Bombyx mori: one gene and its partners. The protein of the gene in region 1 purifies or fractionates together with the protein of each later gene. This does not show direct contact. Links are inferred from orthologs where the notes say so. Each region holds a gene or a part of one and is shown on either strand. Other genes may lie near its edges.

Region 1 (3,659 bases):
TCATTAGACCAGTCTGTAAGAGTCTGGGATTTCTCTGGACTGAGAAAAAAGAGTGTTGCTCCAGGACCTGCTGGACTGACTGAACACTTAAGGAATCCACAAGCAACAGATCTTTTTGGACAGGTAACGCTAGTGGTTGGTCAATTGGTGTCACTGCTTTCATCAGGGATTATGGCTATGCATTCAAAATATCCGAGGAAGTAATGGTGATCCCGAAGTTAGGGTTAATCTACAAGATGTCCATATGTTTAATTTTCTTTAATCACAGCATGACACTATGTGTCGACTATGTACTGAATAATGTTTTTAAATTATCTTTATTGGGATTTTGGTGAGTTAAAATAATTCTTTGAAAATGAAAAATATATACCCAGCATATATTATTGATTTGTAAATATGTATTAATTATATTTTGTTTGTTTTATTGTAATTATTTACTTTTAACCAGTATCTATTGAATATCTACTTGTACTAACATCCCAAAACGATCCAAATACATCCTTTTTATTTGATCCAAACCTCCATACACAATCATCCAATCATTCTTTGTAAATATATTTTCTGTTCATCTCATTCAAACAAAAAACAGCTATTTGTTATTATGATTTTTTATTTTATTTAATTAATTATTTTTATTAATCAAAATCCCTGCGGTTCCGTTGCTAAAGCAACTGTACATGCAGGCTGATGCTGTTGTGAAGCACGTCTTGGAGGGCCACGATAGGGGTGTAAACTGGGCCTGTTTTCATCCTACTTTACCATTGATCGCATCTGCTGCAGATGACAGACAAGTGAAGCTTTGGAGAATGAATGATTCTAAGGTAAGGCTTTAGTGTATAGTTTATGAAGGTCATTGTCACCAATAATGTCTGACAAATACCTTATTAATAAATAAGCATATGTACATCTCTTTAATAACTACTAGATTAATGAACCAAATTAAATAAAGAAATTATTTTAATTTAGGAAAATTATTAAATATAAACAAAGTGCCATGCCAACCCCACCTAGTGGGATAAGATGGAGAAAAAAAAATTAAATATAAACAAAGTCAGTCTGTTCAAGAATACGGAAATTATAAGCTTCATTATATCATCTGGAATAATGACGTCATAGTTTATAGCCGCCTAACAAATTAGCGAAAATCGATTTGCAGGAAAGTGACAAAGCATTCTGTCTGAGTCCGATTAAAATATTTAAAAGCTATCTGTCTGAAAACCTTATTTATTTTAATTATTTCATAATAATAAATGATAAACTATTTCATGCAGCGCAAGACCAGTCTTTGTGGCGAGGCTTGGGGGAGGCCTATGTCCAGCAGTGGACATCCATGGGCTGATAGAATAGCATAGAAAAAAAAACTATTTCTACAATTCATATAATAATGTCCAATATGTTTATACTAAATTTCTAATAAACTTGAAGTTGAGTACTGAATGCCGAGACTAGCTGCTATCCACAAAATTACCTCTCAAGATCACTTTGCCAATGATATACCACCACTTCCTAGAAGTAAACCACCCTCACCAAACACCTCAGTGGTTCCCCACATGCAATGATGTACTCAGAGTTTACAACTTGAATTATATGCCACTTTTCCAGGCCTGGGAAGTGGATACATGTCGCGGCCACTACAACAATGTCTCCTGTGTTTTGTTTCACGCGAAACACGAACTCATCATATCTAACAGCGAGGATCTTTATATCAGAGTTTGGGACATGTCTAAAAGGACCCTCCTGCAGTCCTTTAGAAGGGAACACGAGAGGTAAACGAATTATTTTATCGTGAAGCTGGTTTGATCTTCTTTCTCTTCAGGTCGTAAACGGGATATTTTTTAGAAATTTCAACTGTTAACGTATGGGTTTCCGAATCTTAATAATTAGACCTGATTTTCGAAAATTGGAATTTCCTAAAAAATTGGATTGGAAATTGGAATTTTCTTAAAAACTTTACAGGGGTAACAAACAAAATTTATTTTTATGGCGTAATAGGTTTTGGCAGAGGGAGGAAGAGGGGGGACAGCCGTTAGTAAAATACAATTGCGTCTTCGATCTCCATGTCTATGGGTTGCGGTAACCACATAACCTTATGTTAGAAATGGACATTGAAAAAAATGGGTGCGGCATTTTTTCGAAAAGTATTGATATTGTACCTCCTCCTTCGATCGGTCATTGCTGAGCATCGTGATGCGCCCGCCTGTGACCTTTTTTTGTAATTTGTAGCCACTTTTGTCAGTCAGTGGCACAGTGAAGTGCGTGGCTCAGTCTCATGTTCAGATGCTCGGACACTTGGTCACTCCATATTTTTCGGCTCCGACCTCAGGATCGTCTTCCATCTACTTTACCCGTCACTATGAGTCTCTCCAGGTTGTCAGAGGGTTTTCTTGCTATATGACCAAAATATTGGAGCACTCTCTATATAGGCATTTGGTGGATATTGTACATTGGAAATTGTACAAACAGTGTCAATTTGACAGGTACTGGGTGTTGACGTCCCACCCCACGCTGAACTTGTTCGCGGCGGGACACGACGGTGGGATGGTACTCTTCAAGCTGCAACGTGAGCGTCCAGCGTATGCAGTTCACAACAATATGCTGTTCTACATTAAAAACAGGTACAAGAGTGTAATCTTGATACTTTTTTTTATTGCTTAGATGGGTGGACGGGCTCACAGCCCACCTGGTGTTAAGTGGTTACTGGAGCCCATAGACATCTACAACGTAAATGCGCCACTCACCTTGAAAAGTAAAGTTCTAAGGTCTCAAGTATAGTTACAACGGCAGCCCCAGCCACCTCAAACCGAAACGCATTACTGCTTCACGGCAGAAATAGGCAGGGTGGTGGTAGCTACCCGTGCGGACTCACAAGAGGTCCTACCACCAGTAACTCTTGGGCCCGTGGACTCGTGGGCCCGTCAGCACAGGAGGCCACAGTCGGCACTGTACTTCAGGGAACATTGAAATATGTGAACTCCATTGTTGACTTGGCATCATATTAATCATACAGACGGTTAAATTACTTAAACAATGGAAGATTACAATAATAATTAGTGATTAAAATCTAATAGGTTTTTGTCTTTTTTTTATCAATATAATTTGAAAATGGTTTATTTTGACAACTATCAGCATAGAAGGTTACAGTGGGCAATGTACTTCAGGGAACATTGAAATATGTCCCATTGCATTGTTGACTTGGCACCATCTTAATCATACAGACGGTTAAATTACTTAAACAATGGAAGATTACAATAATAATTAGTGATTAAAATCTAAGGGGTTTGTGTTTTTATTTTGATCAAGTTTATTTGAAAATAGTTTATATTCATAATTATCAGCATAGAGGGTCACTCACGGTGGGCACTATACTTTGGGGAACATTGAAATATGAGGATTTCGGTCTTGACTTGACTTGATTTTAATCATAAAGACGGTCAAATTACTTAAATAATCAGTGATTACGATAATAATTGGTGATTTAAATCTAATGACATAATACTTTTTTGTGTGTGTTATTTGTAAATATGGTTTAGATTTACAAATCCGTTCAATAAATTTTTTTTTAATGTCAATATTACATTAAAGAGGACAACTTCAGTCGAGTTGAGTCTAGTTAGATTATATAATGAGATGAATTGTGTTGTTTTTCCAGACACCTCCGT
Region 2 (3,659 bases), on another chromosome or scaffold:
AATAAGACATGACTTAAAGGTCTTAGTTACCAGGTCATAAAATCCCCTAAAAAACTAAGCATCATCTTCGCAGTGACGTCAGTCTTTAGGAATGCTTTTATGCTCGCGTTCTCTCTAAGATACGTTTTCCTCGTTAGCTCTCTCTCGTTCTCGCATTCAGAGTTTCTTCCACATCATCCCTATGGCTAAAACATAGCCTACCTGCAACTGTAACGGTCTCGAGTCTTTGTTGTCGACGTGCACGTGTATGCGACCGAACTGCTCGTTGCTAATGCGTAGCGTCAGCAAACCTGTCGAACAAACATTTCTATTTGGCAACCGATGTACGGTGAACAAAAAAAAACAATATTTTGAATATTTCTAGTAAATCTACATATTATATAGTACATCGCAATGTGTCTTTTACAGAATTTCTGTAGATAATAAACGGTTGTCTGGAAGAGATCTCTTTTAACGATAAGCCTGTTGTACAATTATACCGACCTGTTGACGGTCTGTCGATGTTAATTCTATTTTGATGTGAAATAAAATATATTCTCTCTCACTCTATTTTTTTACTATATAGGTTTTTTTTTAAATACCGTCACTCGATATTTGTTCATTACAATTTTATTTTATTCTCAGAGCTTTATAAGCTCTCTTAAATATGTTACACTAAGCTTCAATTGCTTTAAATGGGGCTTTATATTCACTTCCTATCCTTAGTCTATGCACACTTGAAGTACCGAGACGGATAGCTCCCGGTCCAGCCGTTGTTAAGTGGTCACCGGAGCCCAAGACGTCTCATGTGCGACAACTTTGATCCATGAGGTCTCAGTGGTACTTCAATACTGTTATTTACCCCTTTTAATCACGAATACTTTGCAAGGAGAGGGATGTCGCACGGGCAGATTAAGTTTAAGAGCAGGAACCTAATTGGATTATCGGTTTTTGGTTTTAAAACAATTTAATTAGAAACGGTACAAACTTATTTATTCTCTTCTATTACACAGTGAGAGCACTCAATTACAATCCTTATTATAAAGTGCTGCCACCTAGTGTCTATGTAAAGTTAAATTCTCTTTTCATATTTCGAATAGAACCATTAGTGATAGAGTTATATCTTTTTTTGCTGCCACGTGTCGGGTCAATGACCTCACGCGCGCCGTCGTGTCGCGTAGTTTGAAATACTACCCTCAAAATAATGTTTTCTATCATGCAGTACTTTAACATCTATTTATTCGTTTTGTTATTGTTTTATGCCACGTTCTGTCACCTGCCTACTATCTGTACGCGTTTCAATCATTATAAATGTTTGTAAAATAGTGTCTTTGACTTATTTGGGTCGTCTATTATCAAAGGTGGCAATCTGTGCATTTGAACAAAAAAATGTTATTGACCAAAACCTGCATTAAATAAAGGTTAATACTTAACCTGTTATTTATCTAAGATGTCGTTCAGAAGAGTTTTGTGACTGCCAATGGAATACAAAGTCAAAAATTCGTTTTTCTGATTTACCAATAATTGTCCAAAAGTCACATTGCCGGCTTTGATAACAGTCGACTCATTTCTCCGCGTAACTGAACCTTGCTATTGTGATAGCAAGCAAGAAACCGCAATGTTTCTATTAAGTAACATTATTAATTCATTTATTACACTTAAATGTATTTATCTACGTTGACGGACTTAATGCCCAAGGCATTCTCTTCCATTCAACCAAAGGTAGTGCAGAGTAAATATTGGTAAGTGCATTGAAATATAAATTAACAAAAGACGTACACACAAAAACACATATACACTATACTTGAGTGTAAATATATACATATAAATATACATATGTATGGTATTTGTGTATGTATGTGTGTGTATGTATGTATATATTTACATATATATTTCACTAATTTGGTACACCGCGCGTAATTCGTTTCCAAATGATGATGGTTGTCTGGAGGAGATTGCTGTTAGCGATAAGACCGCCAATTGTGCTTTTTTGACTTATTCTTTAGGCCACGACGACTTTTCAATGTATCGCATTGTTTATTTTTTTGGTGTACAATAAAGAATACTCTCTCTCTCTCTCGCCCGGTGATCCTGATATGGTCTCTCAAGACCATCGGCTAAGGTAGGAAAAAAATATCTCTCTCTCTCTCTCTTAATATAGTTTATAGTAGATTATACAATAAATACCTGATAGTTCAAAAGTTTGTATGTCACCGTCGCGGCCGGCGATCAGGTTTAAACGCTCCTCGAAGCGCAAGTGAACACTGAAATAATCAACCAATCATTGCGGTACAAGACGTGAAGATATTAGAAAGTTGTTTTTTTCATTACCCCTATACAGGGACGAATATTTTAAAATAAGAAAAACATTAACTTTATGCTTTCTCTGTTCGATTTTTTGAGTTCATTTTGAAAATATTACAATGAATGCCGAATGTAAATGCTCTGTATCGGGTTCAAATTCAAAAACATAATGTGTCTATTCATTCAGTGCTAGAATCTCAAAGCAATGCTATTATTTATGAAGGCAGCACCTGTCTGTATACCTACTACTGCATGTTCTCGGGTTTCTAGAGAAGATAAAAAAAAATAACAAAAATAATGACTATTCATTTTAAAAAATATGTCCACGTTTAGCGCAGAAGTCAATGTGTGAATAATAATTAAAAAAAAAAATGATAAAGTAAAAATTGTTTTGCAAACAGTACTCACTCCTTGTGATCGGCGGGCACGGGCTTGCCGGCGTCGTGTTGCGCCGGCGACGCTACGGGCGCCGTGACGTCACCCTCGCTGCGGAGTCGGGACACGAACGAGTCCGCGTCTGTGCCGCGGCTGCCGAGCTTCATGGCAGAACGACCCACTGTACGACTAGAAGAAAGAAAATAAAGTTTTTTTTTTATTGCTTAGATGGGTGGACGAGCCCACCTGGTGTTAAGTGGTTACTGGAGCCCATAGACACCCACAACGTAAATGCGCCACCCATCTTGAAATATAAGTTCTAAGGTCTCAAGTATAGTTACAACGGCTGCCCCACCCTTCAAACCGAAACGCATTACTGCTTCACGGCAGAAATAGGCAGGGCGGTGGTACCCACCCGCGCGGACTCACAAGAGGTCCTACCACCAGTAATTACGCAAATTAAAATACATATTTCTATTAAATTAAATTACATATTTCGTCTTTTCGTATTAAAAGTGTCCAAAAATATTCGAAATTGAGTTAATATGCGAAATCATTTGGCATCACCAGTATTCTTCTAATAAATACCGTCAAAAGAGCATAGTTAGCTTTAGTTTTTTTTTTAGTTTACCTATGATTTGACTACTATGTATTAACAAAATTAATACATAATATTATCATACTTTAAAAGACAGATAATGTAACTGGTACAAAATAAAATATAAATGTTGCAAATATGATTAATATTAAAAATATCACATGTTTATATACCGCTAGAGCGCACCAACTGCGGGGCTAATGATATGTCTATTAGATTACCTAAGACCTACAACAAGTTTTATTCAGATATTGATATTTACAACATCCAAAACTATGTTCAAAACTGCAGTTCATAAGCTTAAGTTTAAGTTAAGCTAAGGGTTTGTTATTGTTTGAATCTTTAAAATATTTACAAATTGAAAAATAATAATCTTTAAAGTATTTTCGGTGTTCTACAATTA
Region 3 (4,155 bases), on another chromosome or scaffold:
TGTCGACTGAAAAATATCTAACGTATCACGGAAATAATTCATGTAAATCCACTAATATAAAATTGATCGAATTTCAATACAATTCCCACTGAATCGAATTTGAATTCGATGTCAATTAATGATAATAAAAATATATACTTATTCGGTTCCTAGGATAAGCAAAGGAAACACAGTCCAAAGCATTCTTAACTTTGAACGCAAAAGCCGCGCCGTTTTTTATGAAAATTGAAGTGTAGAGTCTGATTGTTTGGAATCATGTGAGTAATCTTGAATCAATTGGTCTCTTAATTCTATTTTATAATTTACACTACTCTTCTCCTTTGTAGTGACAACTGATATGTATTTTTTGTTACTTTTCCTTCGATCAATATAATAATATGTAGTTGGTGACAGTCAATCAAATTGATTTTCATCGATTTCTTTCAGTGATTAAGCAATTGAAATTTTTGAGTAAAACTCAATGATTTTAATTTCAATTGGATAAAATGAACCAAAACAACATCCCAAATAAATGCAGAGGCAATAAAATATTTTCCGAGGAAAATTATGGAAATTTTTTACGAGGTTAACTGACTTTTTGGAAAAACTTGAGAAGCCACGTCGAATGATAAACAATTTATACCTTCAAACATGAAGAAAAACTAAATTATCAAAATATAGCACACGTCTAGAAATATTAAATGGTGGTAGGACCTTTTGTGAGTCCGCGCGGGTAGGTACCACCGCCCCGCCTATTTCTGCCGTGAAGCAGTAATGCGTTTCGGTCTGAAAAGTAGGGCAGCCGTTGTAACTATACCGAGATCTTAGAGCCTATATCTCAAGGTGGGTGACGCATTTACGTTGTAGATGTTTATGGGCTCCAGTAACCACTTAACACCAGGTGGGCTGTGAGCTCGTTCGCCCATCTAAGCAATAAAAAAAATATATATATTAAAAATTTGAAAAGACATTACCTTACAGGTGGTAGGACCTCTTGTGCTTGTGAGTCTGCACGGGTAGGTACCACCAAAGCGCCTATTTTCTACCGTAAAGCAGTAATGCGTTTCAGTTTGAAGGTTGGGTAGCTTTTATAACTATACTGAGACCTTAGAATTCATATCTCAAGGTGGGTGGTAGCATTTACGTTGTAGATGTCTATGGGCTCCAGTAAGCAATTAACACCGGGTGGGCTGTGAGCTCGTCCATCTAAGCAATAAAAAAAATAAAAAAAACACTTAAAACGTCAAATGTCACTTGAGTGGCGTAAATGACATGTCGGTTTCTGGACACGTATTTGTGTATGAGGAGGAGCTAAATTAATAAATTGGATTAATTTATCGTTTTTTTGTGTATTTTAGTACATACATGAAGGATTATTGAATTATTCATAGTTCATTCTTATCGTGTGATTTCGTGGCCCAGTATATCTTTAACTCATTCAGGTTAGTATGAGAACAACATGTCACTGTATACCGGACGAGTAAACCACGAATTTTTAGGCAGTATCATATCAACACTCTATCGTGTTGATGCTACTGCCTAAAATATCTGCTAACATATGATAGCAAACGAAATATTGAATACGAATGATCGTAAATTACAACTATACTTTTAAAGCAATCTTAAACAATTGCAATTTTGATTTTCCAACTGGATCATTTAACTAGTAGGATAAACATAGAAAAATAAAAATTAAAGAAATACATTACTAACTAAATATGACCAAACACACACACACACACATTTATTTGCCCATAAATTAACACTGCCAGGATCGGGACAGCTGAAAAGTTGAGTAAAACACATGTTAATAATCTACATTGGCTACTCTTATTTATGATCTTGTTTTCCATAATTGTTAGATTATTAGTAATAACGTTAGGAGGTTTGCAACAACAGTGTTCTACAATTGTTCTGGTATCTATTATACTGGTAGTACTCTACAAACTGACATCCTTAAGGGCAATATGTTAGCTGATTCCATTAGTGTTGCAGAATGATGAACCAGCTCAAGTTTAGCTATGGCATTGTCAATGCTTATGACCTGGGGATCATCATTAAATGGTTTGAAGAGTAATTAACAAATGTTTTCTGGTTTTGAATAAACATGAATTGTGATTAGAAAATTTGCAGTTACAGTCAAATTATTACTAATAAATTTAAATGTTTAACTCAGGATGGCGGTTGTGGAGCAGCCATGCTATACTCTTATCAATTTTCCAACTGATTTAGAACCATGCAATGAGATGCAACTTAAACTTGATCTTGGTGAGTAGTTTTGCATAATTCTTGGTCAGTAAAAGCTATTTATTAGTGACTTGGAAATTACAATACAACTTTTTTCTTCCAAAAATGTGGTAACGACTTGGAAGTGTGATTGCTACCTTGACCCCCCAGTATTATGCATGTATACTTTTGGATCTGTGTTATTATTATTATTCATTACATAGGGTGTTACTGTACACCAGTAACTCTGATCTACATTAATTTGTAGTTTGCACTTATGTTATTAGTTCCTATTTAGACCTAAAAAGTCTGAAAAATATGCATTAATATGCTATGAATATTTTTTGAAATTGAGTAGACTTAGGAATTATGTTTTGCAAATGACTACTAAAAAACACATGTGTTCAGTATATAATAAAAACTTCTAAAAGAAATGTACTTCTAAAATGTACATTTCCCTATCAGACAACATAAAAATATTTTTATCCTTAATACATATTTGAAAACCCTTCAAAACGCTTGTTTTTGAAATAAAAAGTTTTATGCACCGTCTACAGTGGTAGATGGTAATCACAAATATTTTTTGTAGTAAATAAAATAAGCAACCTTGCCCCCAATGTTGACTAAATTATATTTTACATCACAAACTTTACAGAGAAAGGTGATACAAAAAAGAAAATAGAAGCATTAAAAAAGACAATAGGAATAATACTTTCTGGGGAAAAGATACCAGGTCTGCTCATGATCATTATTAGGTTCGTGTTGCCATTGCAAGATCACATGATCAAGAAGCTGCTACTTATCTTTTGGGAGATTGTACCAAAGACCTCACCTGATGGAAAATTATTGCAGGAAATGATCCTTGTCTGTGATGCCTATAGAAAGGTTAGGGTGACAATCATATTTTTGCCTTTTTGAAGTGATTATTTCCAAGAAAATTAGTATGAAACTGTCTCTATTTTGTCAGAGAATTGTAGCTGCGTTCAAATCTCATAGCTATTTATGCATTTTAGAGTCTACTGTTTCAAAATTTAACTGTAAACAAACAGTATTTGATTTTAATAACTTTTAAAAATGTGTTCTTTATAATTTTATTAATTTACTAGTTAATCATCCTACCACTGTGATTTGAGTGTAACAGTATTTAAATCGACTATAGGATCTTCAACATCCAAATGAGTTCATTCGCGGATCTACTCTGCGTTTTCTGTGCAAGCTGAAAGAGCCTGAACTCCTTGAACCCCTAATGCCAGCCATACGGTCCTGTCTCGAGCACAGACATTCGTATGTCAGGAGGAATGCTGTTCTTGCTATTTTTACCATATATAGGTGAGGAATATATAAAATCTAAATTCATTTGTAAAGTTAATCAACCACAGGAAGTCTTATAATATATGATGATATAAAAAAATAATATGGATCTTGTAATTGCAAAACTTAAAACTGGTTATAGCTATATTAAGATTAAGAGGTATATTAATATATTATCTTCTATCAATAAAATAGATCAAATAGGAAATGCCCTGGGAATTCATCTGTAACAATTAAATGTTATTCATAATATATCAGTATTAAAATTTTCCTTTTAGGAACTTTGAATTCCTAATTCCTGATGCACCGGAGCTGGTAGCAAACTTCCTGGAGACTGAGCAAGACATGTCTTGCAAGCGTAATGCCTTCCTCATGCTGCTGCATGCTGACCAAGAGCGTGCTTTGACATATTTGTCTTCTAGGCTCGATAATGTACACAGCTTTGGAGATATTCTTCAATTGGTCATAGTCGAGTTGATTTATAAGGTTAGTGTCCTAATATTGAAATACACAAAAAATATATGTGTGGGTTGAAAGATAAAAGATAGATAGATGTTCCATGTTTATTTTTTCATATATAGAAAAGGTATATATGAGTCGTCTATTATCAAAGGCGGCAATCTGTGCATTTGGACAACA

Evidence for each region.
Region 2: the proteins of COPA (region 1) and COPD fractionate together in Homo sapiens (co-fractionation; 4 studies listed by BioGRID and IntAct, with this or other methods). This does not show direct contact. The link is inferred for Bombyx mori from reciprocal best matches to the Homo sapiens genes COPA and ARCN1.
Region 3: the proteins of COPA (region 1) and COPB fractionate together in Homo sapiens (co-fractionation; 6 studies listed by BioGRID and IntAct, with this or other methods). This does not show direct contact. The link is inferred for Bombyx mori from reciprocal best matches to the Homo sapiens genes COPA and COPB1.

The regions. Positions count from the first base shown.
Region 1 is NC_085132.1:3,505,710-3,509,368, reverse strand, and holds part of COPA (coatomer protein complex subunit alpha), read left to right. Parts: coding exon 1-123; intron 124-668; coding exon 669-821; intron 822-1,602; coding exon 1,603-1,766; intron 1,767-2,477; coding exon 2,478-2,615; intron 2,616-3,649; coding exon 3,650-3,659. UniProt on the Homo sapiens protein: The coatomer is a cytosolic protein complex that binds to dilysine motifs and reversibly associates with Golgi non-clathrin-coated vesicles, which further mediate biosynthetic protein transport from the ER, via the Golgi up to the trans Golgi network.
Region 2 is NC_085130.1:5,917,309-5,920,967, forward strand, and holds part of COPD (coatomer protein complex subunit delta), read right to left. Parts: intron 2,848-3,659; coding exon 2,692-2,847; intron 2,244-2,691; coding exon 2,167-2,243; intron 291-2,166; coding exon 202-290; intron 1-201. UniProt on the Homo sapiens protein: Component of the coatomer, a cytosolic protein complex that binds to dilysine motifs and reversibly associates with Golgi non-clathrin-coated vesicles, which further mediate biosynthetic protein transport from the ER, via the Golgi up to the trans Golgi network.
Region 3 is NC_085119.1:987,090-991,244, reverse strand, and holds the start of COPB (coatomer protein complex subunit beta), read left to right. Parts: upstream 1-1,217; 5' UTR 1,218-1,421; intron 1,422-2,155; 5' UTR 2,156-2,156; coding exon 2,157-2,247; intron 2,248-2,860; coding exon 2,861-3,090; intron 3,091-3,364; coding exon 3,365-3,534; intron 3,535-3,794; coding exon 3,795-4,002; intron 4,003-4,155. UniProt on the Homo sapiens protein: The coatomer is a cytosolic protein complex that binds to dilysine motifs and reversibly associates with Golgi non-clathrin-coated vesicles, which further mediate biosynthetic protein transport from the ER, via the Golgi up to the trans Golgi network.